Linked DNA regions of Anolis sagrei. The protein of the gene in region 3 purifies or fractionates together with the protein of the main gene of each other region. This does not show direct contact. Links are inferred from orthologs where the notes say so. Each region holds a gene or a part of one and is shown on either strand. Other genes may lie near its edges. The genes, in order: PRRC2C, OSBPL8, CSNK2A2 and GRAMD1B.

Region 1 (7,593 bases), on a different chromosome or scaffold from region 3:
TCCTTATATAGCCAGCTGTGATAGGTGATCAGTAAGAATCACTGGTTGATGCAATCCTTTTGAAATAACCATCACATGGTTATGACTCAGCCATTACCAAACCTCCTTAGGTATCACATCATGAAACTCACAGTCATACCTAGCTGCTATCAATATGTTGTTAATTCGTTCAGTTGTTTCCGACTCTTCGTGATCTCATGGACCAGTCCACGCCAGAGACCCCTGTCGGTTGTCACGACCCCCAGCTCCTTCAAGGTCAAGCCAGTCACTTCAAGGATACCATCCATCCATCTTGCCCTTGGTCGGCCCCTCTTCCTTTTTTCTTCCATTTTCCCCAGCATCATTGTCTTCTCTAAGCTTTCCTGTCTTCTCACGATGTGGCCAAAGTACTTCATATTTGCCTCTACTATCCTTCCTTCCAATGAGCAGTCGGGCTTTTTTTCCCTGAAGTATGGACTGGTTGGATCTTCTCGTGGTCCAAAACACTCTCAGAACTTTCCTCCAACACCACAATTCAAAAACATTTATCTTCCTCAGCCTTCCCTATGGTCCCGCTCTCACATCCATAGGTGACTATGGGGAATACCATTGCTTTAACTATGCGGATCTTCGTTGCCAGTGTGATGTCTCTACTTTTCACTATTTTATTGTGATTGGCCATTGCTCTCCTCCCAAGAAGTAAGCGTCTCCTGATTTCCTGGCTGCAGTCTGTGTCTGCAGTAATCTTTACACCTAGAAATACAAAGTCTGTCACTGCCTCCATGTTTTCTCCCTCTATTTCCTAGTTGTCAACCATTCTTGTTGCCATAATCCTGGTTCTTTTGATGTTTAGCTGCAACCCAGATTTTTGCCCTTTCTTCTTTCACCTTGATTAGAATGTTCCTTAGCTCCTTCTCGCTTTCTACCATCAAAGTGGTATCATCTGCATATCTAAGGTTGTTAATTTTTCTTCCAGCAATTTTTACCCCAGCCTTGCATTCGTCAAGCCCCACACAGGCGGGGACCCGAACCCTAGTCTTGAGTCACAATCCAATCTTCAAACCACTATACCATGCCCTCTCTCTCTCTCTCTCCACACACACACACACACACACACACACACAGAGAGAAAGATGTTAACTAAAGCAATAATTCTAACCCACTCCAGTCCTCCCTTTTCTTCCTGGCTGGAAGTCCTTTAGCAGCAGCATCTTTGATAGGGTGGTAAAGGAGGGCTGGAGAAACACAGACCTTTAATATCAGGTTGCAGTAGTAAATAGCAAACAATGCAATTAATTTCTAACAGGAGAATGGGATACTAGAGCGGCTGCCTCCAGAATTCATTACTGAGCATGCATGAACAACAAAACAGTGGAAAAAAGGAGAATGACAAACCTTCTCAACAGTGCCCCCAGCATATTAAAAAGGGTATTTTAAGTTTGGCCAGCAAAATAAACATCAAAAGAAAAGTAGAGGCTGGATGCATTTTGCTTTTAATTCACTCTTTAATCATATATGTGTTAAATATTATTTTACTTCCACCATGAGCTGCCTACAATCCACACGGTGCTAATGCCAGACTATTTATGCCCTAGACAAAGATAAGTGCTTGTTCTCCCCACCACCACCCCGCCCCCAAATTATTAACTACCATTTTTAAAAATAAATGTCTTGTAGAAAAAAGGGAAAGCACACAACTTTACATTACGACATTGATTTTATATTGCAATAATGTACCATCTTCTATGATCTTTCTCAAATGTTTTATCACATAAGTAATTTTGTGAATTGAAATGATAAATTGTTTACATTTTAAGTATAACAAAATGTTACTTTTTATCACCAGGTCCTTCAGATCAAGTGCTAAAGCCTGGCCATGTGCACTTGCCATGCAAATTAGTCTATTTGCAGCATTATTATTATTATTTGACTGCATTACCGCTTACCACTACCCTAGAAATGCAATCTAGATAGAACAACAGAATCATAAGGCACAATATTTACGATTTTCTGTTCTAGTACAAAGATAAATACTCCTTTTTGTGGCATAGACATCTGAAGTCTTCAAGCTAACAATGTGATGCGGCAGTTAAAAAAGCCAATGGGATTTTGGCCTGCATAAATAGGAGTAGTTGATCCAGGGATGGCATGCTACTCCTCTATTCTGCCTTGGTCAGACTACATCTGGAATACTGTGTCCAATTCTGGTACCGCAATTTAAGGGAGTTGTGTCCAGAAGAGGAAGACTAAAATGATCAAGGATCTGGAGAACAAGCCCTATGAGGAGCGGTTTAAAGAGCTGGGCATGTTTAGCCTGCAGAAGAGAAGGCTGAGAGTACATTTTCCGAGAGTACAACTTCCAGGCACCAAATTGGAGGTGAGATACCCTTAGTGCCTGGAATGACTACATCTAGTACTTCATAAAGAGTAGAGGGATTCCTCTTTCTCCCAGCCTTCTCCTGGCATGCTGGATATTTTCATTCTGGGTATATAATTTTGGTGCCTAGTGGGCACCGCTAAGGTAAATTAGAGAGAGGCAAGGCATGGATGGCAAGCAAAAGGCCAACTTTTTTTTTTGGTGGCCACTCATGGTTTTTTAATTTTTTTTATTTATCGTGTCTGTGCAACCAGTCGATTATATTACATTTCTAACAGAACAAAGCAAAAAACCCAAAAAAAACAAAAAACAGACAAAATACGAAAATTGTGAGTTTGGTAGCTGATTAAATGTCCTTTGACCAGTATCTGGCCACTTGGAGTGCTTCTGGTGTTGCTGCAAGAAGGTCCTCCATGGTGCATGTAGCAGGGCTCAGGTTGCATCGCAGCAGGTGGTCAGTGGTTTGCTCTTCTCCACACTCGCATGTCGAGGATTCCACTTTGTAGCACCATTTCTGAAGGTTGGCTCTGCATCTTGTGGTGCCAGAGAGCAGTCTGTTCAGCGCCTTCCAAGTCACCCAGTCTTCTGTGTGCCCAGGGGGGAGTTTCTCATTTGGTATCAGCCATTGGTTGAGGTTCTGGGTTTGAGCCTTCCACTTTTGGACTCTCGCTTGCTGAGGTGTTCCAGCGAGTGTCTCTATACATCTTAGAAAACTATTTTTAGATTTAAGTCGTTGACGTGCTGGCTGATACCCAAACGGGATGAGCTGGAGATGTCTCTGCCTTGGTCCTTTCACTATTGGCTGCTACTTCCCGGCGGATATCAGGTGGTGCAATACCGGCTAAGCAGTGTCATTTCTCCAGTGGTATAGGGTGCAGGCACCCCGTGATAATGCGGCATGTCTCATTCAGAGCCACATCCACTGTTTTAGTGTGGTGAGATGTGTTCCACACTGGGCATGCATACTCAGCAGCAGAATAGCACAGCGCAAGGGCAGATGTCTTCACTGTATCTAGTTGTGATCCCCAGGTTGTGCCAGTCAGCTTTCGTATGATATTGTTTCTAGCACCCACTTTTTGCTTGATGTTCAGGCAGTGCTTCTTGTAGGTATGAGCACGGTCCAGAGTGACTCCCAGGTATTTGGGTGTGCTGCAATGCTCCAGTGGATTCCTTCCCAGGTGATCCTCAGAGCTCGGGATGCTTGTCTGTTCTTGAGATGAAAGGCACATGTCTGTGTTTTAGATGGGTTGGGGATCAGCTGGTTTTCCCTGTAATAGGCAGTGAGAGCAAGTTCTCAACCTGTGAGTCCCCAGATGTTTTGGCCTTCAACTCCCAGAAAGCCCAACAGCTGCTAAACTGGCTGGGATTTCTGGGAGTTGTAGGCCAAAACACCTGGGGATCCACAGGTTGAGAACTACTGTCCTAGAGCTTCGGAAAGCTTCTGTTCTACCATGTCAAAGCTCCATGCTTGAGCAGTAATGGCACGATTATCAGCATAGATGAAACTCTCTGTCCCTTCTGCCAGTGGCTGGTCATTTGTGTAGATGTTGAACATGGATGGAGCAAGCACACTCCCCTGAGGCAGGCCGCTCTTCTGTTTCCGCCATCTGCTTCTCTGGCCCTGGACCTCAACAAAAAAGCTCCTGTTTTGTAGCAGGTTTCCTATGAGGCGGGTGAGGTGGTAGTCCTTTGTGATATTATACATTTTTCTCAGGAGGAGGCGGTGGTTCACAGTATCATAGGTTCACAGTATCATATTAACTAATGGGTTAAACCATAATGAAGTCGCCAGCTAGTTTAGAGCAGTGGTTCTCAACCTGTGGGTCCCCAGGTGTTTTGGCTTACAATTCCCAGAAATCCTAACAGCTGGTAAACTGGCTGGGATTTCTGGGACTTGTAGGCCAAAACACCTGGGGACCCACAGGTTGAGAACCACTGGTTTAGAGGCTGACAATGTGGTCTCTATCAGCTCTCAATCCAGCTGACAGTTTGAGCCACTCTTTCCCTTTGCAGCCACCCTCCCTACAACTAAAAGCTGTTTGGGCCTCCAATTCCCAGAATTCCTGACCATTGTACAAGCTGGCTAGGGCTTCTGGGAGTTGGAGGCCTGAACAGCTGGAGGGCCGCAATTGAAGGAAGTCCGCTGCAAGGCCGCTATGTTCTCCCCCCGCCCACTTCCTCTAGAACGTAGCGGTAGTCCCGGTCACGTGGTGCACGGCGCCTGCGTGCGTGTTGACGTCAGACGGCAGTAGGTGCCGCCGGCTTGGCTATCCGCCCGCCATCTTGGCCCGCTCGGTGTGGAAGGTCTCGGTTCCTTTGGCCTGGGTGAGTGTATTCTGGAGGCGGCGTTCCACAGGGACCACGGCAAGGGGGGTGCTAGGGAAGGCCTACGACAGGACCCGGCTTGGGTAGGCCTTACGCCTCCCGGTTGTGAAGGCCGCACCACAGGCTGTCGGGCGGCCTTAGGTGGGGGCCTGGCCGGGGTTGGGAACGTGGTGGTGGGGAAGGAAAGAAGGATGGGCAGCCGGGAGGGGGTCCTGGCTTCCCCCTCCTCGGCTTTCAAGGGCCTCTCTCGCCCGCTCCGACGACTAATAAACGGGCTTTCCCGTTCTCGGCTATAACGGCTTTGTTGGGCAGTAGGCCGGGGCAAAAAAGAATAGGATGAGTGAGGCCGAAAGTTTGCAAAAGCAATTACAGAAGAAAACAATACCTGGCGCTTTCTCTGAGCATCCATGCACCGTTTTTTGTCTCCCAGCTTCTGCCATTACTATATATTCCTTTATTGCTTTCGACTCCTCCATTTTCTTAACTTCCGGCATTTTTCCCTCCAGGTTCCTTGAATCTGGGTGCCTTTCCACACAGCCCTATATGCCATAATATCAAGGCAGAAAATCCCACAATATATCCTTTGAACTGGGTTATCTGAGTCCACACTCAGGGCCCATCCACACAGCCCGATATGCCAGAATATCAAGGCAGAAAATCCCACAATATATCCTTTGAACTGGGTTATCTGAGTCCACACTCAGGGCCCATCCACACAGCCCTATATCAAGATAGAAAATCCCACATTATCTGAGTATGGCCTCAGATAACCCAGTTGGAATATAGGGCTGTGTGGAAGGGCCCATAGGCATATAACCCAGAATATCAAGGTAGATAATCCACAGTGGGCCCTTCCACACAACTCTGTCTGAGTATGGACTCAGATGACCCAGTTGGGATATAGTACTGTGTGGAAGGGCCCATTGGCATATAATCCAGAATATCAAAGTAGATAATCCACGGTGGGCCTTTCCTCATAGCCCAATATCCTAAAATATCAAGGCAGAAAATCCCACATTATCTGAGTATCGCCTCAGATAACCCAGTTGGGATATCAAGGCAGAAAATCCGACATCTGAGTATGGACTCAGATAACCCAGTTGGAATATAGTGCTGTGTGGAAGGGCCCATAGGCATATAACCCAGAATATCAAAGTAGAAAATCCACAGTGGGCTCTTCCACACAACCCTATATCTCAGAATATCAAGATAGAAAATCCCACATTAGCTCAGAATATCAAGATAGAAAATCCCACATTAGCTGAGTATGGACTCAGATGACCCAGTTGGGATGTAGGGCTGTGTGGAAGGGCCCATAGGCATATAACCCAGAATATCAAGGTAGATAATTCACAGTGGGCCCTTCCACACAACCCTATATCTGAGAATATCAAGGCAAAAAATCCCACATTATTTGAGTATGGCCTCAGATGACCCAGTTGGGATGTAGGGCTGTGTGGAAGGGCCCATAGGTATATAACCCAGAATATCAAGGTAGATAATCCACAGTGGGCCCTATAGCTCAGAATATCAAGACAGAAAATCCCACAATTCCTTTGAACTGGGTTAACACTCGGGGGGGGGGGGGGGGCATCCGCACAGCCCTATATCCCAGAATATCAAGGCAGAAAATCCCATATTATCTGAATATGGACTCAGATGACCCAGTTGGGATGTAGGGCTGTGTGGAAGGGCCCATAGGCATATAACCCAGAATATCAAGGTAGATAATTCACAGTGGGCCCTTTCACACAGCCCTATATCTCAGAATATAAAGGCAGAAAATCCCACATCATCTGAGTATGGACTCAGATGACCCAGTTGGGTTATAGGGCTGTGTGGAAGGGCCCATAGGCATATAATTTAGAATATCAAAGTAGATAATCCACAGTGGGCCCTATATCTCAGAATATCAAGAAAGAAAATCCCACAATATCTCCTTTGAACTGGGTTATTTGGGTCTACACTTGGGGCCCATCCACGCATCCCTATATCCCAGAATATCAAGGTAGATAATCCCACATTATCTGAGTGTGGACTCAGATAACCCAGTTGGTATATAGGGCTGTGTGGAAGGGCCCATAGTCATATAACCCAGAATATCAAGATAGATAATCCACAGTGGCCCTTATATCTCAGAATATCAAGACAGAAAATCCCACAATATCTCCTTTGAACTGGGTTATCTGAGTCCACACTCAGGGCCCATCCACACAGCCCTATATCCCAGAATATCAAGGTAGATAATCCCACATTATCTGAGTGTGGACTCAGATAACCCAGTTGGTATATAGGACTGTGTGGAAGGGCCCATAGTCATATATCCCAGAATATCAAGGTAGATAATATACAGTGAGCTCTTCCACACAGCCCTATATCCCAGAATATAAAGACAGAGCATCTCACAACATCTGCTTTGAACTGGGTTATCTGAGTCCATTTTATTTATTTATTCAGATAATGTGGGAATTTCTGCTTTGATATTCTGGGATATAGAGCTGTGTGGAGGGGTCCAAAGGGCCCTCAGATAATGTGGGATTTTCTCTCTTGATATTCTGGGATATACTGCTGGATGGATGGGCCCAGTATCTGCTTTGGACTGGGTTATCTGAGTCCACACTGCCATATAATCCAGAATTTCAAGGCAGGTCATCCACGTTATCTGGTTTGAACTAAATTATCTGAGGCCAGATCTACACTGCCATATAATCCAGGCCCCTTCCACACAGCTGTATAAAATCCATATTGAACTGGGTTATATGGCAGTGTGGACTCAGATAACTCAGTTCAAAGCAGATATTGTGGGTTATCTGCCTTGATATTCTTAATTATATGGCTGTGTGGAAGGGTCCTGACTGAGACAGGGCAGGGCACTCAAGGTAAGAGCTCACTTCAAGGTGTATGAAGATTTA
Region 2 (7,421 bases), on a different chromosome or scaffold from region 3:
GCACATATATGGAAACAGTACTCTCAGTTAACTGGCACCCATGGGGATTGGTAGATGCTGGGTGAATGTATCTTCAGGTTGCTTGAGAGTTACTATTAAAATGGGCTTAATTAATCCTATACCTGATACTATACCATAAATTCTGTATTGACTTGATATTAATACTGAAATAGTCATTAAAAGAGAAATAAAAACAAATTGAACTCAATGTTCCTGTTTTAATGTATTATAAAAAAAATTAAAAGTATTATATCTTTGAATTTTGTTGCCATTTGCTTGAGAGTGCCGGCTGCTTGAGTTCCAGTTAACTGACGGTCCTTCCATAGCACCATATATCCCAGAATATCAAGGCAGGCAATCCCACAATATCTGCTTTGAACTGGGTTACTGGAGTCCACACTGCCACATAGTAAGGTAAAGGTTTTCCCCTGACATGAAATCTAGTCATGTCCGACTCTGGGGGTTGGTGCTCATCTCCAACACTAAGCCGAAGAGCCGGCGTTGTCCGTAGACTCCTCCAAGGTCATGTGGCATGAAGCACTGTTACCTTCCCACAGAATCAGTACCTATTCTAGCCAACCTAGCATGTTTTTGAACTGCTAGGTTGTCAGAAGCTGAAGCTAACAGCGGGACCTTTTGATCAACAAGCTCAGTGGTTTAACCCACTGTGCCACTGGGGGCTCCACACTGCCATATATTCCAGTTCAAAGCCAATAATGTGAGACCTAACCGGTTTGGGACTCGCCTACCTCCATGACTGCATCTCCTACCACCAACCTGCATGATCTCTCCGATCCACCAGGGACACTCTCCTCTTGCCTCTTGCTCTATCACAGGCAAGACTAGTGGGAATGAGAGAGAGAGCCTTCTCCGCTGTGGCTCCCTGTCCTTGGAACTCACTATCTGATGAGATTAGGCAAACCCCCTCCTTAGCAGACTTCAAGAAAAATCTGACAACCTGGCTTTTCCGATGTGCCTTTGGAGAGTGGCCACCCATCCCATTTGTGTTGCCCCATCTATAGTGTTGCCCCTATGATGCACTTTTCCCCATTCCAAACTGAAAGCCTTACCCCACTGTTTTATTTTCTCCCCTCACTTACATATCTCCTATTCCTACCTCACACAGGGTTTTATCACTTTATCTTGTCTGTTTGGCCTACCCATCCTGTTCGATTTAATATTGTGTGAATTTGCTTTATTATTTCATTTTGTTATTGTAATTTATTTTCTGATGCATTTTGTTTTTTGTATTCTGTACTTTACTGTGCTGTATTGTATTTTTAAAGGGCTTGGCCTCATGTTAGCCGCGCCGAGTCCCCACTGGGGAGATGGTGACAGGGTATAAATAAAGATTATTATTATTATTATTATTATTATCATTATTATTTTATTCAGCTGTGTGGAAGGGGCCTGAGAGTCTGCTGTACAAAGAATACCTAAAACCATACTCCAAAGGATTTCTAGACTGAAGAAGTTTCAAATGCCTTCACATCTGGCGCACCTTTTGCTAAAGGAAAGCCGTGTTTTGTTTAGTATCTTGCTGAGAGGAGATATGATAGCCATGTATAAATATGTGAGAGGAAGCCACAGGGAGGAGGGAGCAAGCTTGTTTTCTGCTTCCCTGGAGACTAGGACGCAGAACAATGGCTTCAAACCACAAGAAAGGAGATTCCATCTGAACACGAGGAAGAACTTCCTGACTGTGAGAGCTGTTCAGCAGTGGAACTCTCTGCCCTGGAGTGTGGTGGAGGCTCCTTCTTTGGAAGCTTTTAAACAGAGGCTGGATGGCCATCTGTCAGGGGTGATTTGAATGCAATATTCCTGCTTCTTGGCAGGGGGTTGGACTGGATGGCCCATGAGGTCTCTTCCAACTCTTTGATTCTATGTGTACAGTACCTCTTAATCAGTTCAGAATGTAGATTGCTATATCCCAGGCATGGGCAAACTTGGACCCTCCCTCTAGGTGTTTTGGACTTCAACTCCCACCATTCCTAACAGCCTCAAGCCCATTCCTTTTCTCCCTAAGCCACTTAAGAGGCTGTTAGGAATGGTGGGAGTTGAAGTCCAAAACACCTAGAAGGAGGGCCCAAGTTTGCCCATGCCTGGGATATAGCAGTCTACATTCCGGTCTGATTAAGAGATACTGTACACAACTTACTTACTTAGGCGATCCCTCGCTTTCCGAGGATGATTGTCTTCCAATATTCTTGTGGGTCCGTATGTGGCTGTGGAGCCCTATTCTTGCTCTGCATCCTCTTCCGCAGTGAGGGCATTGGTTTCCAGGTGGAAGGCGGTCTCTGCCGGGGTTGGCTTGACGCACCTTCCTCTTGGCACGCTTCTCCCTTTCGCCCTCCATTCGTGCCTCCTCAAATTCTGCAGCACTGCTGGTCACAGCTGGCCTCCAGCTGGAGCGGTCAAGGGCCAGGTTGTACACAACAAGACCCTAAACAAAACACGGCTTTCCTTTGGCCAAAGGTGCGCCAGATGTGAAGCCATTAGAAACTCTTCAGTTCAGTAATGCAGCAGCACGAGGAGCCTCTGTCATTGGGGTGGGTGATTATTATGATGGTGATGCTCAAGGCTCCCAGAAGTGAGAGGCAGGCATAAGCCCAAGGTCACGCCACGCAGCCAGGCTCCCGACCACCACAGAGAGAGAGAGGGAAGGAAGGAAGGAGGGAGGCCCATGAGGGAGGCTTTTCCCCGGCTGCCCCCTCCCGCCCCACCCCTTCCTTCGCATCCCTCCCCAGAGCCAGCGGGACGACAACGAGGCGAGGCTCCCTTCTCCCTTGCTTCGTTTCCCTCTTACCTCCTCCTCACCCGATCCGGGCCTTGAGCTGCCGCCTCCAGAAAGAGCCACGGCCGAAGCGACGAGATGCTCGAGGTTCAAAGAGGAGAAAAAAAAAGGAAAGGAAAACTAGAGTTGCCGAGAAAGGCTCGGGACCCTCAATTGCGCACGCGCGCCGCTCGCGCCGGCTGGAAAGCAAGCCGCGCACGCGCACATACACACACACACACACCCCGCGCGCGCGCACCCCTCTTCTTTTTTTTTGTTGTTGTTGCAGACTCGAGCGCGCACGCGCGACTCACGACAAAAATGGAAAGGAGGGGGAATAGAGAGAGAGAGAGAGAGAGGGCAACCGCAGCCACGCCCTTGGGAGGCCTCACGTGACTGGGGGCATCCTTCGTACGGAGGGAAGTAGGCTCTCAGGCGTCGCCCCTGGGCTCTCCGGAAGGCTTCTGATTGGTCCAGCCCTTCTCTCGCGCTGGCTCTCTTCGCCCCGCCCCTTTCCTTTCAGTTTCTGTGGAAAGGCGCCTTGCCAACCACTGCATAAACCCAGCAGCTGTCACTTTGCCACCCTCTTCACACACACACACACATTGTTTTGATATGAGGATATTTCAGGAGGAGCAAAACATTCAAGGCTCCTGGTTCAAGAATAAAGAGGCAATGCCAAGGCCCCTTCTGCACTGCCACATAATCCAGTTCAAAGCAGATAATCTGGATTTTATATGCCTATGGCCCCTTCCACACAGCTGAATAAAATCCCACAATCCCCTGCATCGCCTCTCACTTAAGGTCGGGTTTGCCTATGATGAAGGCTGTGGCTGTTTCTTTTTTCTTTTCACACTCCTTTCATTAGCTATCTTCCTTTTAAAAAGGTAAAGGTAGTCCCCTGACATTAAGTCCAGTCATGTCTGACTCTGGGGTGTGGTGCTCATCTCCATTTCTAAGCCGAAGAGCCAGCGTTGTCCGTAGATACCTCCAAGGTCATGTGGCCAGCATGACTGCATGGAGCGCCGTTACCTTCCCGCCGGAGCGGTACCTATTGATCTACTGACATTTGCATGTTTTCGAACTGCTAGGTTGGCAGAAGCTAGGGCTGACAGCGGAAGCTCACGCCGCTCCCCGGAATCGAACCTGCGACCTTTCAGTCAACAAGCTCATCAGCTTAGTGCTTTAACCCACTGCGCCACCGGGGGCTCCTCTATATTCCTTTACAGACACCTTATTGCAGGGGTCCTCAAACTACGGCCCAAGGGCTGGATACGGCCCTCCAAGGTCATTTACCCGGCCCTCGCTCAGGGTCAACCTAAGTCTGAAATGACTTGAAAGCACACAAGAATAACAACAATCCTATCTCATCAGCCAAAAGCAGACCCACGCTTCCCACTGAAATACTAATAAGCTTAAAGGTAAAGGTAAAGGTAGTCCCCTGACATTAAGTCCAGTCATGTCTGACTCTGTGGTGTGGTGCTCATCTCCATTTCTAAGCCGAAGAGCTGGCGTTGTCCATAGACATCTTCAAGGTCATGTGGCCAGCATGACTGCATGGAGCACTGTTACCTTCCCGCCGGAGCGGTACCTATTGATCTACTCACATTTGCATGTTTTCAAACTGCTAGGTTGGCAGACACTAGGGTTGACAGCGGAAACTCACACCACTCCCTGGAATCAAAGCTGGGACCTTTCAGTCCACAAGCTCAGCAGCTCAGCACTTTAACTCACTGCGCCACTGGGGGCTCCCACTAATAAGCTTATATTTGTTTAAATTGTTCTTCATTTTAATTATTGTATTGTTTTTAAGTGTTTTTGAACTACAAATAAGATTTGTGCAGTGTGCATAGGAATTCATGTTTTTTTTCCAAATTATAATCTTGCCCTCCAACAGTTTGAGGGACTGTGACCTGGCCCTCTGTTTAAAAAGTTTGAGGATGCCTGCCTTATTGGATGCACTAATCCAAACATACAGAAACTCACTTTCAAATTAGTCACAGTTTATTTTCATGTTCAAAGGATGCTCACAACATCATATCAACTATATTTTGTCCCAATAAAGCAGTGATTATTACATTTCCAAGAAACAAAATACTGTATTGATGACATCCCATCTTCTAATTGGCTCCACCTCAAATGGTAAATGTACGTATTCAATACCTAGTCATTAAGAGTACAAGCATAGGGGGCATCTCCACCATTGATGCAATGCTATGGATTCCTGAGACTTATGGTTATACAAGATCTTTAGCCTTCTCTGCCTGCAGCAAGTTGCTTGGGAAGGAATCCCACTGGAGCACTGCAGCACACCAAAATATCTGGGAGTTACTCTGGATCGTGCTCTGACTTTGAAGAAGCATTGCTTGAATATCAAGAAAAAGAGGGTCCCAGAAATAATATCATACGAAAGCTGACTGGGGATCACAACCAGACAGTGAAGACATCTGCCTTTGCTCTTTGCTACTCTGCTGCTGAATACGCGTGGCCAGTGTGGAATACATTTCACTACGTTAAAAGAATAGATGTGGCTCCTAATGAGATATGCTGCATTATCACAGGATGTCTATGGCCTACACTACTGGAGAAATTATACTTTTTAGCCGATATTGCACTACCTGACATCTGTCGGGAAGTAGCAGCCTGTAATGAAAGGACCAAGGCATTGACATCTCAGACCCATCCTCTGTTTGGATACCAGACAGCATGCCAACGCCCTAAATCAAGAAATAGCTTCCTACGATCCACAGAGATACTCGCAGGAATACCTCAGCAAGCAAGAGTCCAAAAGTAGCAAGTTAAAACCTGGAACCTCAATCAATGACTGATACCGGATGAGAAACTCCCCCCTGGGCACACAGAAGGCTGGGCAACTTGGAAGGCGTTGAACCGACTGCGCTCTGGCACCGTGAGATGCAGAGCCAATCTTAAGAAATGGGGCTCCAAAGTGGAGTCCACGACATGTGAATGTGAAGAAGACCACTTACTACAATGCAGTTTGAGTCCTGCCACATGCACAATGGAGGACCTTCTTATAGCAACACCAGAGGCACTCCAAGTGGGCAGCTTCTGGTCAAAGGAAATTTAGTATAATGCCTAGTCTTTTAAACTTTGTTTGTGGTTTTGCTATACATTATAACTTTTCTCAATTTGTTTCTGACACAACAAGTAAAAAGCCTTCTCTGCCAAAAAGTGTGGATGCCACGCCAAACTACAACTCTAATTATTCCACAGCATTGTGTCCTGGCAGTTAAAGTGGTGGTAAACTGCATTAATTTGACAGTGTAGATGCACCCATAGTCTGATCTCATCAAACTTACATAGCCGATGTTCACAATGCCTTAACTATTAAGCTATGCAAACCGTTAAAGGAAAAAACCAATTTGCTACACTCAAAAAAGCATTATCAGGTTTGTGACAGGAGACGGGATGATTTGAGCAGAGCAGTTAGAGAGAGCGAAAATAGCTGCTCAGAGAGGTATCTGGATAAAACAGAAAGCAGCCAGTTATCAGCTGTTTTCAGCTGTGTACCTTAAGTAACAATCAGCTGGACAGTTTGTACAGTTTGTAGCTGTGCTGGCTGTTTCAAAGTGTTGAAATAATTGTTTGTGCCAAATGCATTTATCAGGAAGTTAGAACCCGCATTGAAGGAGCAGAGATAAGGAGGAGGAGATAAAGAACAATATTGTGCAACTCTTCTATCATGTGTTGGTTGAGCATTCCTTTTCTGAAATGCTTGGGACTGGAAGTATTTTGCATTTTGGAATACCTTATATTGTATCAGGATTTGTGGTCCTAAAAGTAGTAGAAGTTGAGTATCCCTTACCCAAAATGCTAGGGAATAGAAGTGTTTTGGGTTTCAGATTTTTTTTGATGTTGGACTATACATAATGAGATATCTTGGCGATGGGACGCAAGTCTAATTGCAAAATTCATTGATGCTGCAACATATATACTTACACATATAGCCTGAAACTGCCTTGGACCACAAGAAGATCAAACCAGTTCATACTTTAAGAAATAAAGCCCGGCTGCTCACTGGAGGGAAGGATATTAGAGGCAAAGATGAAGTACTTTGGCCACATAATGAGAAGACAGGAAAGCTTGGAGAAGCTGTGGAAAGCTTGATGTTGTGGAAAATGGAAAGAAAAAGGAAGAGGGGCCGACCAAAGACAAGATGGATGGATGGTATCCTTGAAGTGGTCGACTTGACCTTGAAGGAGCTGGGGGTGGCCATGGCCAACAAGGAGCTCTGGCATGGGCTGGTCCATGAGGTCACGAAGAGTCGGAAGCGACTGAATGAATAAACAACACAACAACGAATGGCCTGAAGGTCATTTTATACATGTATTAAAATATTTATTTATTTATTTATTTACTGTATTTGTATACCACCTTTTTCAGCCCATAGGTGACAAGGCGGTTTACAGGACAAAAATTCAATGTCCACAATACCATAAATACAATTAAAAACATTAACATATAATAAAAATCATAACAAAATCAATAGAACATAAATCCACAGTGTCTCCTTGTTAAAAACATTGTCCGGTCCCATCGTCTAGTCCCGTGATGGTGAACCTATGACACGTGTGTCAGCACTGACACGCCTGGCTATTTTTGATGACACATACAGAGAAATACACCT
Region 3 (7,784 bases):
GCATCCTCAGAGGGAGTGAGGTCTGTTGGAACTGGGAAAAATGGGTTTATATATCTGTGGAATGACCAGGGTGAGACAAAGGACTTTTGTTTCCTGGGGCTAGATGTGAATGTTTCAGCTGATCACCTTGATTAGCATTCAATGGCTTGGAAGCACCTGGGGAGAATCTTTTGTTGAGAGTGATTTCATGTGCCTGTTTTTTTTCCCCCTCTGTTGTTTTGCTGCTGTAATTTTTGAGTTTTTTAATACTGGTAGCCAAATTTTGTTCATTTTCATGGTTTGTTCCTTTCTGTTGAAATTGTCCACATGCTTGTGGATTTCAATGGCTTCTCTGTGTAGTCTGACATGGTGGTTGTGAGAATGGTCCAGCACTTCTGCGTTCTCAAATAATATGCTGTGTCCAGGTTGGTTCATCAGGTGCTCTGCTATGGCTGATTTCTCTGGTTGGAGTAGTTTGCAGTGCCTTTCATGTTCCTTGATGCGTGTCTGGGCACTGCGTTTGGTAGTCCCTATGTAGACTTGTCCACAGCTGCATGGTACACGGTAGACTCCTGCAGAGGTGTGTAGAGATATGTTTATTATAAAGTGTTATTTATAATGTGTTTAAACTGTATTTATAATGTTTATTATAAAGTGTTATTTATAATGTGTTTAAACTGTATTTATGTTTTACATTGGTTGCCATGTCCTAGCTGTGAGAGATAGGTTGCCATGGTGACAAGGCAAGAAGAGGAGGTGGGCGGAGCTTAAGGAGAAAAAGGTTTGAAAGTGACAGTTAATTTTCAGTCAGGAGGATGAGACCCTGAGAAGAGGGCAGAGTCAGTTAGGGCTCTGTGGTGTGAAGCGGTGTAAATTCAGTTAGTTCTTAGTATTTGTGAATATTTCTTCAGCAAGGGAGCTGAAGGGAAACCTCGTTAGATTGCTTGAGTTAAAAAGAATCTAACAGAGGGGGTTTTAGGATCGCCAGTAGTGGAAGACTGGAGATCAGTGGTTTGATCCGGTATAGGACAAACAGTGTGAATATTCACAATAGGGAACACTGAAATAATAAAGCACTTCACTGAAGAAGGAGTTTATAAGATTGTAACATCAGAAGCCTGAATGTATCTCGACCAAGCCATATTGTAACCATCAAGCATGTGTCAAGTTCAACATCTCAATATTGCAACAATTACGCTTTGTTAATAATAAACTTGTTCTCTTTGTATTTTAAACCTGCCTCCTCCATTGATTTTATGTTCGGTGCATTCCACTCTACCAAAGTTACCTCACAACGTAAATAGGGATAAACAGAGACTTTAAGACCAGCGTCTCTAAACTTATTGGTGGCAGTTTAATTTAACATTCTAGGAACTTTCTTACATTTTTGGTGCCATTCGGTGAGATAAAGACTTCTTTACATATTTTTGGTGGCATTGATACGTTCTTTACAAGGTGAAAATGGAATGTTGGAGGACAGGAAAAGAGATTTAAAGATGGGCTCAAAGCCAACCTTCAAAACTCTGGCATAGACACTGAGAACTGGGAAGCCTTGGACCATGAGTGCTCCAGCTGGAGGTCAGCTGTGACCAGCAGTGCTGCAGAATTTAAAGAGGAACGAATGGAGGGTGAAAGAGAGAAACGTGCCAAGAGGAAGGCGTGTCAAGCCAAGCCCAACTGGGACCTCCTTCTACCTGGAAACCGATGCCCTCACTGCGGGAGAAGATGCAGATCAAGAATAGGGCTCCATAGTCACCTACGGACACACCCTGGAGGATTATGCTACTCAGACAACAATAGTCCACCTACAATCAAAGAGCATTCTGAACCCCACCAATGATGGAATTGAACCAAACTTGGCACACAGCTCTCCCATGACCAACAGAAAATACTGGAAGGGATTGGTGTGTAGTGTCCTTTGGTTTTGGAGTTGTAGTTCACCTACATCCAGAGATTCTGATGTGCCTTCCCAGAAAAGGATAACCTCCAGCACTATGTCCCAGAAGCACTTTATTAGAGTTTAAGACTCTCTGCACATTGCCCTTGCCCAGAATCCCAATATATCACCTTTCACACCCAGCACTTTTTAATCTGTACCCATCACTGGCCCGGCCCTGGTTTTATTGTGTAATGTTTTGTTTTCGTTATTGCTTATGTTTTTAATTTGCTTTGCATCGTATTGTTATTGTTTGTTGTTGTTGTTGAGGCCTTGGCCTGTGTAAGCTGCATTGAGTCCTTTGGGAGATGCTAGCGGGGTACAAATAAAGTTTAATAATAATAATAAAAGATCACTGTGAACTCAAAAATGATGGATCTGGACCAAATTTTGCATAAATACTCAAATACTCCATATGCCCAAATGTGAACACAGATGGAGTTTGGAGAAAATAGAATCTTGACATTTGGGAGTTGTAGTTGCTGGGATTTATAGTTCACCTACAATCAAAGAGCATTCTGAACCCCACCAAGGATGGAATTTGGCCAAACCTCCCACACAGAACCCCCATGAGGGCCACAGCAATAATATTATAAATATATGTTTACGCTGTATGTTTTGGGGATGTTACTTGGAAACCGGCCTGAGTATCCCTCAGGGAGATAGAGCTGTATACAAAGAAAGTTTATTATTATTATTATGATCACTAGTGGGGGTGGCACCGGGGAAGGGGGAATATCATGTGGTTGTTTATTCGGCTGAGGGGGGAAAGGAAGTGTCGTGAGGCGGTGAGGGATGGCGGGAGTGGCAGGCCAAAGGCCTAAGAAAGGAGGCTTGTCCTGGGGTGTCTTCCCCGAGTGGGCGGACCTGGTCTGCTGGATGGCGGCGGCGAGGCTGACGAGGGAGATCTGGCTGAGGTCGCGGCGGAGCTCCTCGCCCAGTTCCCGCGACTCCCCGGCCTGCACGCTCTCCCGCTCCGAGTCCTCGTCCGCCATCACGACCAGGCCGCGCAGAGAGACCGGAGACGAGGACGAATCCATGGCGACGAGGAGGAGAATGGCCTTCTTGGGGTGGTGGTGGTTGCTGTTGTTGTGGTTGCTGAGGCGCCGAACTCCCTCACTTCCGGCCACGCCCCCTCACTTCCCTTCTCTTCTGGCCCCGCCTATTTCCCCTAGGACCCGGATGGGAGTGGCAGCCTCAGCTTTCCCTCAGCTATGGCCACGCCTACTCTGTCACGTGACTCCCTTCAGTAGAAAGGCCGCTTTTCCTCACTTCTGGCCACGCCCCCTCAAGTGAATTTTAATAAGCAGGAGTTTCCTTTACTTATGGCCCCGCCTACTCCGTCACGTGATTCCCTTCAGTAGGAAGGTCGCTTTTCCTCACTTATGGCCCCGGCTACTCTGTCACGTGACTCTCTTAGGCTAAAGTCGGCTTTTCCTCACTTCTAGCCACGCCCTCTCGCGTAAATTTTAATAAGGAGGAGGGGCTTCCTTCACTTAAGGCCCCGCCCACTCCGTCACGTGACTCCCTTCACTAGATAGGCCGCTTTGCCTCACTTCTAGCCACGCCCACTCATGTACATTTTTAATAAGGAGGAGCTTCCCTCAGCTATGGCCCCGCCTACTCTGTCACGGGACTCCCTTCAGTAGAAAAGGCTGCTTTGCCTCACTTCTAGCCACGCCCTCGCATGCGAATTTTAATAAGGAGGAGGGGCTTCCCTCGCAATCGGCCACGCCTACACCGTCACGTGACGCTATTAAGTAGAAAGGCCAACTTTCCTCAGTTCTCGCCACGCCCTCCCAAGTGAATTTTAATAAGGAGGGGGAGCTTCCCTCGCAACAGGCCACGCCTATTCTGTCACGTGACTCCCTTTAAGTAGAAAACGCTGCTTTGCCTCATTTCTAGCCGCGCCCTCTCAATGTGAATTATTAATGAGGAGGAGCTTTCCTGACTTATGGCCCCGCCTACTCCATCACGTGATCCCTTAGTCTAAAGCCCGCTTTGCCTCACTTCTAGCCACGCCCTCTTATGTGCATTTTAATAAGGAGGAGCTTCTCTCGCAACCGGCCACGCCTACCCCATCACGTGACTTTCCCTAGCTTTGGATTGGAGTCCTTCTCTTTTGTCCCCTCCCTGATTACAAGGGCCTGCTTCTGGCCCCGCCCCTTGCCTACGTCACTCCTTGACTACAAGAAGCCGTTTCTAGCCCCGCCCTCTTTTTTACGTCACTCTGATTACAAGGGTCCGCTACCGGCCCCGCCCCTTTGCCCTACGTCACTCCCTGTTTACAAGAGGCCGCTTCAGGCCACGCCCCCTTTAGCTACGCCACTCCCTGATTACAAGACACCGTCTCTGGCCCCACCCCTTTTGCTACGTCACTCCCTGATGACAAGAGGCCGCTTCTGGCCCCGCCCCTTTCTCTACGTCTCTCCCTGATGACAAGAGGCCGCTTCAGGCCACGCCCCCTTTAGCTACGCCACTCCCTGATTACAAGACACCGTCTCTGGCCCCACCCCTTTGGCTACGTCACTCCCTGATGACAAGAGGCCGCTTCTGGCCCCGCCTCTTCGCCTACGCCACTAATCAGGGAGTGGCGTAGGCAAAGAGGCGGGGCCAGAAGCGGCCTCTTGTCATCAGAGAGGCTGCTTCAGGCCCCGCCCCGTTGCCTACGTCACTCCCTGATTACAAGAGGCCGCTTCAGGCCCCGCCCCCTTGAGTACGTCACTCCCTTTGGCCCCGCCCTCTTCTTCACGTGACCCTCTCTAGCCCTGATTGGGAGTAGTATCCGCTTTCCCGGACTTGTCACGTGACTATCTCATTTCCGGCCCCGCCTCTTCCTGCCTGTCTCCGTGACGCGACTTCCTCTCCTGTGGGCTGGGCCTCTGTTGCGCCTGCGCGCCGGAAGCCCTTCCCCGTCCCTCCCCGGCCTGTGCCGGCGGACTTTCTCGGGGCCGGTGGGCGCCACGCCGCCTTCGCCTCCTCCTCCTCCTCCTCGCTTCCCCCCTCGGGCCTGGCCCTGGCGCCGCTCTTCCCCGCGGCCGGTCCGCTCCCGTTCCCGCTCCGGGCCTTCCTCAGGTGGGCGCCCGCCTCGCACGCCTCGCACGCCCGGCCCTTCCTCCTCAGGCCTTCCGCCGCCTCCGCCTCCTCCTCCTCGGCCGCCATGCCGGGCCCCGCCGCAGGGAGCCGCGCCCGCGTCTACGCCGAGGTCAACAGCCTCCGCAGCCGAGAGTACTGGGACTACGAGGCCCACCTCCCCGCCTGGGGGTAAGCGAACCACGCCATCCATCCCAGGCCTAGGCCACCTTGGGCCCTTCCTCCCGCCTTCCAGGGGGTTTGGACTACAACTCCTATCATTCCTCACAGCCTCAGGCCCCTTCCTTTTCCCCCTCAGCCGCTTAAGCGGCTGAGGGGGAAAAGGAAAGGGCCTGAGGCTGTGAGGAATGATGGGAGTTGGAGTCCAAACCCCCTGGAGGGGGGGGGGGAGGGCTCAAGGTGGGCCAGGCCTGGGATACAACTATCTATCTATTTCAGGCCTCCCTCCCTCCCTCCAGTGGTTTTGGACTCCAACCTCTTAGGAATGATGGGAGTTGAACTCCAAATCACCTGAAAGGTGGGTGGGTGGGAGGGCCAGGCCTGAGCTGCATCTCCATTGGTATCTCTCTCTATGTACCTGTATCTATATCACAATAGCTATATCTGTATATACAAACAATAACAAATATCTGGATATTTCTGTCTGTGTCTATCTCAGACCTCCCTCCCTCCAGTGGTTTTGGACTTAGGAATGATGGGAGTTGAAGTCCAAATCACCTGAAGGGTGGGTGGGTGGGTGGGAGCGCCAGGCCTGAGCTGCATCTCCATTGGTATCTCTCTCTGTGTACCTGTATCTATATCACAATAGGTACATCTATATATACAAACAACAACAAATATCTGGATATCTCTATCTCGGGCCTGGACTACAACTCCCACTTTTTAGGAATGGTGGGTGCTGAAGTCCAAAACTACAGCTATATCTGTATATACAAACAACAACAAATATCTGTATCTATCTGTCTATATCTATCAGGCCTGGGACACTTTTTAGGAATGGTGGGAGTTGAAGTCCAAAACTATATCTGTATATACAAACAACAACAAATATCTGTATATATCTGACTATATCTCAATCCTGGGCCATCTTGGGCCCTCCCTCCTGGTGGTTTGGACTACAAATCCCACTTTTTAGGAATGGTGGGAGTTGGTGTCCAAAACTATAGCTATATCTGTATATACAAACAACAACAACAACAAATATCTGTATATATCTGTCTATATCTATCTATCTATCTCAGGCCTGGGCCATCTTGGGCCCACCTTCCCTCCTGGTGGTTGGACTACAACTCCCACTTTTTAGGAATGGTGGGAGTTGAAGTCCAAAACTATAGCTATATCTGTATATACAAACAAGAACAACAATCTATCTATATCTATCTCAGGTTTGGGCCCACTTTGGCCCTCCCTCCCTCCTGCTAGTTTGGACTACAACTCCCACTTTTTAGGAATGGTGGGAGTTGAAGTCCAAAACTATAGCTATATTTGTATATACAAACAACAACAACATATATCTGTATATATCTGACTATATCTCAGGCCTGGGCCATCTTGGACCCTCCGTCCCTCCCTCTAGTTTGGACTACAACTCCCACTTTTTAGGAATGGTGGGAGTTGAAGTCCAAAACACCTGGAGATAGGGAGGGAGGGCTCAAGGTGGCCCAGTACTGATCTACATCTATATTTATCTATCTCTGTGTGCCTGTATCTATATCTCTGACTATAGTTATCTATCTGAGGCCTGGGCCATCTTGGGCCCTCCGTCCTTCCTGCTGGTTTGGACTCCAACTCCCACCATTCCTAACAGCGATAGGAGTTGAAGAGCAAAACACCTGAGGGAGGGCCGAAGGTGACCCAGGCCTGATCTACATCTCTAGCTATCTGTATATAATAATAATAATAATAATAATAATAATAATAATAATATTTATTTATAACCTGCCACCATCTCTGGGTGGTTTGGACTCCGATGCCTGCACCTGTTAGGAATGGTGGGAGTTGAACTCCAAATCACCTGAAGGGACGGAGGGCCCAAGGTGGCCCACGCCTGATCTGCATCTCTATCTATTTGTATCTGTATCTATATAATGATGGGAGTTGGAGTCCAAAACCCCTGGAGGGAGGGTGGGCCAGGCCTGGGATACAACTCTATCTCTCTCAGGCCTCCCTCCCTCCAGTGGTTTTGGACTCCACCTCTTAGGAATGATGGGAGTTGAACTCCAAATCCCCTGGGGGGTGGGTGGGAGGGCCAGGCTATAGCTCTATCTGTATCTATATATCTATATCTATCTCAGGCCTGGGCCAATTTGGGCCCTCCCTCCCTCCCTCCAGGTGTTTAGGACTCCAACTCCCATCATTCCTAACAGCCAGTAGGAGTTGAAGACCAAAACACCTGAGGGAGGGCCCAAGTTGGCCCAGCCCTGATCTACACCTCTATCTATAACTATGTATGTGTATCTATATAAGTATAGCTGTAATTATATCTGGACCTACATCTCTAGCTATAACTATTTCTTTATCTATATCTATTTGTCTGTTTCTATGTAACTATAGCTATAACTATATCTGTATCGCTATCTGACCATATCTATCTATCTCAGGCCTGGGCCAATTTGGGCCCTGCCTCCAGGTGTTTTGGACTCCCAACTCCCACCATTCCTAAAAGCCAGTACGAGGTGAAGTCCAAAACACCTGGAGGGAGGGCCCAAGGTGGCCCAGGTCTGATCTATATCTATATCTATCAATCAATCTGTATCTATTTCTATGTACATACCCG
Region 4 (7,142 bases), on a different chromosome or scaffold from region 3:
TCTGGAATTCGCTTCCCAGAGATATTAGGCATGCCCCCACCCTGGAAATCTTTAGGAGGAGCCTGAAAACTTGGCTGTTCAAATGTGCCTTCAATGACTGAATGTGTGATATAATCCCTGACCAAACTCTGCATAAAATGTCCTCAGAAGCACTTTATTTTCTGGTTTGTGCAATGAACTTTTACCTTATCCCCCGGATACCCTTCCTGATATTGTACACTGCCTTATCTCCCAGTGTTTTAAAATTTTAATTTTTGTACTGGTCTTGCCCATTGTGTTCATTTTTAGTGGTTTAATGTTTTGATTTTATATTGTTGTGCTGTATATTTACATTTTGTATTTTTGTATTTTATGTTATTTTATTTTCTGATTTTCTGTTGTGTTTTTGTGTTATATTGTGTTTCGGTATTGATGGGTGTGGCCTCATGTAAGCCGCCCCGAGTCCCCTTGGGTGGCGGGGTATAAATAAATATTATTATTATTATTATTATTATTATTATTATTATTATGTCTACGCTTATATCAATCTCACTGTAGCCAGGAATATTAGCTTGAACTAAGCCATACTATATAAGTGGAGGAAAGACCAATGTTTGTAGTGAAACCAATTCTTTTTTGTCGTTTGTCCAGAGCAACAACTCTTTTCAATAGCTAGTACTTTTCAAACCTTATGGCTAGGCACACTGTTGTATCTCTCTTGTTACAGAGTTCTTGTGTTTCAAAGAGCATCTAACAGGTGCCCAGTGTCCTCTGACCAAAATTGAAAAGTGACACAGAAGAATATTATGACATAAGGATATGTTGCCTGGTAATGAGAAAATCTACTTAGAAAGCTTTGGGTGCCAAGGAACTGTTTGTATAACATCTTGGGGATCAAGTACTACACCTTTTACAAAATGTGGATTTCCTCAGGTTGTGGAATATTTTTATTTTATGTAAAAGTTTGTGGAGGTTTACATAGCAAAGCCAGTGCCCTGTGCAGTGGATTATGTCTTGAGAAACCAGTGTTCGAATCCCCGCTCGGCCATGGACACCCACTGAGTGATTTTGGGCAGGTCACATTGTCTTAACCTGAGACAAAGGCAAGGGCAAATTCCACTTGAACACATCTTGCTGAGAAACACCCATTAAAGCTTTTCCTTAAGGTTGCCACATTTGGAAACTACTTGGAAGCACACAACAACATGTTTGATACTCAAGGCACTTTGCAATGAAAACAGTAACAAAGCTGCATGATTATAAAACACCATGATAGTTGCCTTGCTGTATAATATTCATGTTCCTCAGGCACGCACTCAGCAAACGAAGACTGTCACATCTTTTTGGGTATCAGAGACCAAAATGTCGTCATGCCGTTAAAATCCATTAGTTAAAAGAAGGATCATGTGGGCCAAACCCAAAGGAAGGCAAGTCCAGTGGAGTTTTTGGGACTTCCAATGCCTTATCTCTTTTCAGCCAATCTCTCATTGTTACCTCTCCAAACCAAATCACCTCTGCCATTTCCAATGCTATTTGAAATGCTAATTTGGGGCAGGGGAGCTCACCATTTCAAAATAACATGACACTTACCCAGAAAAGTCCCCCAAAGTGACCAGGAATGACACAATATAATTTCTAGTTGACCAGAATGGGGGCCACAACAGCACCCCACAGACCTTCAAAAGTCTGGAGATGCTGAAAGCTGGATGATGAAGCCCTCTAGATATGCCCATCCCTGTGTTAAGTAGTAACCTGTATTCATTATTTTCCTCTCTGTTTTCAGTTGACATGTACTACATGTAGTCTGGTTACATCCGGTATAGACTACTGCAACACACTCTATGTGGGGTTGCCTTTGAAGACTGCCCGGAAGCTTCAAACGGTCCAACGAACGGCAACCAGATTGCTAACAGGAGCAGCGCTCAGGGAGTGTACAACTCTTCTATTACGCTACCTCCACTGGCTGCCAGTTTGCTACTGGGCACTATTCAAAGTGCTGGCTTTAGCCTATAAAGCCCTAAACCAGTGGTTCTCAACCTGGGGTCCCCAGATGTTTTTGGCTTACAACTCCCAGAAATCTTAACAGCTGGTAAAATAGCTGGGATTTCTGGGAGTTGTAGGCCCAAAACATCTGGAGACCCCAGGTTGAGAACCACTGCCCTAAACGGTTCTGGCCGAACTTACATGTCCGAACGCATCTCCCTTATGAACCATCTAGGACCTTGAGATCGTCTGGGAAGGCCCTGCTTTTGTCACAAGTACGTTTGGCAGAGATGAGAGACAGGGCCTTCTCGGTGGAGGCCCCTCAGCTGTGGATGCCCTTTCTATAGATATTAGATTGGCCACCTCCCTTTTAACATTCCGGAAAAAAGTCAAGATGTGGCTTTTTGAACAAGCATTTGCACAGGAAAATGGAACAACTAGACAATGTCCGGACAACATTTTTAACAAGGAGACACTATGAATTTATATTTTATTGATTTGTTTAGTTTTTATTATATGTTATGTTTTTAATTGTATTTATGACATTGTGAGCATTGAATTTTGCCATTAACCACCCTGAGTCGCCTATGGGCTGAGAAAGGTGGTATACAAATATAGTAAATAAATACTAAATAAATAAATAAATTAAAACATTGGTGCTGGAAACTTCAAACTGGGTCAATATTTGGAAAACTGGTGCCACTTGTAAGCGTTTTCCATGCAGGAGGTTACATCCTATATTTTTAGTTGACTTTCCTGGAAACACTTGGTTTCTTTATGTTTATAAATCTGATTCTATTGTTTTCTTCTGTGGGGCACATGAGAGTCCTTTCTTAGAAGCTGTTGGCTTCTTCTCTTGTGATAGTTATAATGACTTTTTCATTAATAAATTGTGGGCAGGGAGCAAGTTGCACAGGTGGCTTCTGACTGCGAAATGGCAATTAGGGAAGCGAGAGGAGCATCTAAAAGGAGCATGGTGCACCAGCTGCTAAGACAGCATGTGTCAGGGGGCCACCAAGAAGGCTTGATCACATTAAAATACATTGCTAATGAGTCTTTGTAAAAGAGGAAAGGTGGCATAGCTGAGTCCATAAGATAAGTAGGATATGGATAGAACCGAGCATAAAAATAAAGAGTGCTCATCTTGTCGCCTGCTGTTGATTAGCATGGCAAAGCATTTGCTTGTCTCATCCATGGTCACAATTCTTCAGCGACTACAAGGAAAGTGAAATGAAGCTACCAAAAGATACCTTTTTCTTCAGCCCTTGATCATTAGCACTTTTTGTTTTTCAACATAGTGGCATTTCTTTACTTCTCCTTTGTAGGGAGGTGAGGTTATTGTTGAATCGTTCCCCTCTTGTGCTGCTTGTAAGACTTTCTCACGCTGTTTGATCTGATATGATTGTGTATGTGTCTCTGCATGCAGTCTGTGAGTCTTTCTTAACTGGAATCTCTGTACCAAAAGCATGTCATTTTGGAAGCAGCTCCGTACCCAGAAGTCACTTCCTCTTTTGCTCCTTATCATTTCTTTTCCATGGAAATGCATTCTAGGATTGTGTCAGAAACAAAAAGGAAGGTCCTGCGGGTTCATTAACACTTTGTCGGTTGAAGAAACTGGTGCTCAATTCAGCTGGAAAAAAAGTATCATTCACTTTGCTTCAGGTTTCACTTCTGATTATGTTTGGTGTGATAAATGGCGATTTGAAAGGTGTCCATGATGATGATGATGATGATGATGATGATGATGATGATGATGATAATGATGGTGACGTTCCAGCTGATTGTCTCCTTGAAATCACCTGTCTTATGTGTCTTTCCTTCTTCCACTGTGTGTGACTTGAATTAGAAAGCATTCAGCAAAACAACTCACAACAACTATGCCTAGAGGTCACCTACTTCCCCCTCCCTTTGCAGGGTGGGACACTGAGCATGGAAATGTGACATGGAGGGTGAGCCCAACCAATCACCTTGTATGAAAGGTTTGTTTTCATCCCCCCCCCCCCCCCCCCGCCTTCTCCGTCTTTTTCCTCTGGCTGATTGGAGCAAAAGCACATTCAGTAACAGAGACCTTGTCCCTTGAGTTAAGAGTATGGTTACACTGTCAGCAGCTGCCGGAGCTTATCAGTTGCTGGAAGTGGGGAGAATCTCTCTCTCCTCCCAATCCCTTCTTCTTTCTCGGTTGTATTCTATGTCACGGTTTCCTTCCTCCTGTCCCTGGCTCTGTGTCTGTCTTTCTCTCTCTTCCCCCACCCCCATTTCTTTTTCTCTGACTTTCTCACAGCTCCTCCTCACTTTCCATTCAGTCACTCCGAAGTGCTGTACAGATGAGAGTTTTTCAGCTGAGCCCTGGAGAAGGCGTTGATCCACCACACAAGGAGGCAAGAAAACACTTCTGGAAGCACGGCAAAGCAGAGCAAAGGGAAGCCGGTGGTTGGCAACTCAGCTTTTGTCCCTGATGGTGTTTTGAAGGAGCCACATGTGGAGGAAGAAAGTTCTCTCTTAAGGTCACTGGACTTGGGTAGAAACTCAAGAACACATTGGAGCTGGCTCTGCTGGTGGCCTTGAGGCTCTTCCTTGTTAAATGAAACCACCTGAGGAATATGAGATTTCCGACTGGCGAGGGAGGGAAGATGCCAAGCTGGGTGAGAAGGCAGCAAGGCGGATTTTGATTCTTTGGTGTGGCTTGCACTGAGACCACGGTGGGGAGGGGGTGAGAAGGAGGGCGCCTTGGAGTAAATGAAAGTGGGAGGAGAAGTGACACAGGAGCTGATGCCAACTGCCAAGATGACTGAAACCCTTCAACTCCCTGCACTGCAAGTCCCAGAGCAGCAGGAGGTGGAGTGTGCCCGAGCCTGGTCCAGCTCATCAACGCCAACCTTTCGCCGAAGGCGGTTCAGGATGCGGCGCACGAGGAACATTCACGAGCAGAGCCTGGAGGCCGCACCTTCCTCAAATAAGGATTTCCTACAACTTCCCTCCATTGAAATCACCCCTTCTAGTGATGAGGACACCCCCTGGTCGAACTGTTCCACACCCAGCGCCTCTCCGCGACGCAAGCGCTTCCTGCTCCGCAAGTGGCTGAATGTCAGGGAGAAGAAGGAGTACAGTGAGAGCAGGTGGGTCATCTCTTTCACCTTTCCCATTGCCCATGGGGAAATCCTTGAGGAGCAGGAGCAATGGGTTTCCTCTTGCTTCCTGCAACTTCCTGTGCATGTCCTATCTTGTTTCTGTCTCCCTCTGCTGGTTAAACCAGATGAAGAGAGATGGCAACTTGATGCCCATTTGGCACTGATTTCTTAGTCCTTGATCTCAGAGACCAAATTTGTATCTCTAGACCAGTGGTTCTCAACCTTCCTAATGCTGCGACCCCTTAATACGGTTCCTCATGTTGTGTTGACCGCCAACCATAACATTATTTTCATTACTACTTCATAACTGTCATTTTCCTATTATTATGACTCGCCATGTAAATGCCTGATATACAGGATGAATTTTCATTCACTGGACCAAATTTGGCACAAATGCCTGATATGGCCAAATTTGAATACTGAAGAAGTTGGGGGGATTGATTTTGTCACTTGGGAGTTGTAGTTGCTGGGATTTATAGTTCACCTGCAATCAAAGAGCATTCTGAACTTCACCAATGATGGAACTGAACCAAACTTGGCACACAGAACTCCCATGACACACAGAAAATACTGTAAGGGTCTGGTGGCAACTGATCTTGAGTTTGGGAGTTGTGGTTCACCTACATCCAGAGAGCACTGTGGACTCAAACAATGATGGATCTGGACCAAACTTGGCATGGGTACTCAATATGCCCAAATGTTAACACTGGTGGAGTTTGGGGAAAATAGACCTTGACTTTTGGGAGTTGTATTTGTTGGGATTTATAGTTCTCTCCTACAATCAAATAGCATTCTGAGTCCCACCAATGAGAGAATTGGGCCAAACTTCTCACTCAGAACTCCTGTGACCAACAGAAAATAGTGTTTTCTGATGGTCTTTGGCGACCCCTCTGACACCCCCTTGTGACCCTCCCAGGGGTCCCGACCCCCAGGTTGAGAAACACTGCTCTAGACAGATTGTAAGGAAAATGAGAGATAGGCTTGAAGTACAATTGTTATTGGAAATTTTCAAGATGCTGTATGTTTCTGATACGCTAGTTTGTACCACCATTTATTGCCCATTTATTAAATCATAGCCAGAGAAGGAGAAATAAGTCTTTGGTCATGTGTAGTGTAACATTGAGATGTGAAAATCATGATGAAAAATGGGCAATTGGCCATAGAGTCACACCTGGCTCTACTGGACCAGAATGCTGTATTCACAGATCACATGGTTAAATAACTTACAGAATTGTTTGGTTTATATAGGTCTCTATTGTTTATGTTGAACTGGAAGTCTGCAAAAAACCCCAAACAAACCTTGAGAGCTGAGTAAAATATATTTCATTGAGATATATCTGGCTGGGAAATATCTGTTTAGTTCGTGATGCTGTTTACTCTGAAATGCATGTAATTCTTAACCATGGTTGGCATTTATATCAAGTGACATTCATGATGATAAGACAATTCAATATTCATTATGTTTGCTCAGAAGTAATTGAGATCACAATTAGCACACTATACAATATTTAGAGGATGTTCAATGAAGAAAACACATGGTTGCTTTGTCAAAAGTCCAAATGAAACCTCACGGTTTGCAACTAAGCAGTTAATCAGTTACTGCAATTGAATTGCGGTGGTTCAATGGGTTAAACCAGGGGTCCTCAAACTAAGGCCCGGGGGCCGGATACAGCCCTCCAAGATCATTTACCCGGCCCTCGCTTAGGGCCAACCTAAGTCTGAAATGACTTGAAAGCACACAACAACAGCAACAACAACAACCCTATCTCATTAGCCAAAAGCAGGCCCACACTTCCCATTGAAATACGAATAAGTTTATATTGGTTAAAATTGTTCTTCATTTTAATTATTGTATTAAGTGTTTTTTGCATTACAAATAAGATAGGTGCAGTGTGCACAGGAATCCATTCATGTTCTTTTCAAATTGTTATCCGGCCCTACAACAGTTTGAGGGACTGTGACCTCGCCCTCTGTTTAAAAGGTTTGAGGACGCTTGGGTTAAACCTTTGTGCCAGCAGGACTAAAAACCCACAGGTCAGAGGTTTGAATCTG

The links.
Region 1: the proteins of CSNK2A2 (region 3) and PRRC2C purify together in Homo sapiens (affinity purification with mass spectrometry; 3 studies listed by BioGRID and IntAct, with this or other methods). This does not show direct contact. The link is inferred for Anolis sagrei from reciprocal best matches to the Homo sapiens genes CSNK2A2 and PRRC2C.
Region 2: the proteins of CSNK2A2 (region 3) and OSBPL8 purify together in Homo sapiens (affinity purification with mass spectrometry; 4 studies listed by BioGRID and IntAct, with this or other methods). This does not show direct contact. The link is inferred for Anolis sagrei from reciprocal best matches to the Homo sapiens genes CSNK2A2 and OSBPL8.
Region 4: the proteins of CSNK2A2 (region 3) and GRAMD1B purify together in Homo sapiens (affinity purification with mass spectrometry; 3 studies listed by BioGRID and IntAct, with this or other methods). This does not show direct contact. The link is inferred for Anolis sagrei from reciprocal best matches to the Homo sapiens genes CSNK2A2 and GRAMD1B.

The regions. Positions count from the first base shown.
Region 1 is NC_090024.1:130,660,646-130,668,238, reverse strand, and holds the start of PRRC2C (protein PRRC2C), read left to right. Parts: upstream 1-4,580; 5' UTR 4,581-4,681; intron 4,682-7,593. UniProt on the Homo sapiens protein: Required for efficient formation of stress granules.
Region 2 is NC_090025.1:146,618,767-146,626,187, forward strand, and holds the start of OSBPL8 (oxysterol-binding protein-related protein 8), read right to left. Parts: upstream 3,009-7,421; 5' UTR 2,818-3,008; exon of another isoform or gene 2,807-2,817; intron 1-2,806. UniProt on the Homo sapiens protein: Lipid transporter involved in lipid countertransport between the endoplasmic reticulum and the plasma membrane: specifically exchanges phosphatidylserine with phosphatidylinositol 4-phosphate (PI4P), delivering phosphatidylserine to the plasma membrane in exchange for PI4P, which is degraded by the SAC1/SACM1L phosphatase in the endoplasmic reticulum.
Region 3 is NC_090028.1:1,403,554-1,411,337, reverse strand, and holds the start of CSNK2A2 (casein kinase II subunit alpha'), read left to right. Parts: upstream 1-4,780; 5' UTR 4,781-5,075; coding exon 5,076-5,179; intron 5,180-7,784. Other genes in the region: CFAP263 (cilia- and flagella-associated protein 263), read right to left, coding at 2,783-2,955.
Region 4 is NC_090027.1:35,190,214-35,197,355, reverse strand, and holds the start of GRAMD1B (protein Aster-B), read left to right. Parts: upstream 1-4,123; 5' UTR 4,124-4,698; coding exon 4,699-5,078; intron 5,079-7,142. UniProt on the Homo sapiens protein: Cholesterol transporter that mediates non-vesicular transport of cholesterol from the plasma membrane (PM) to the endoplasmic reticulum (ER).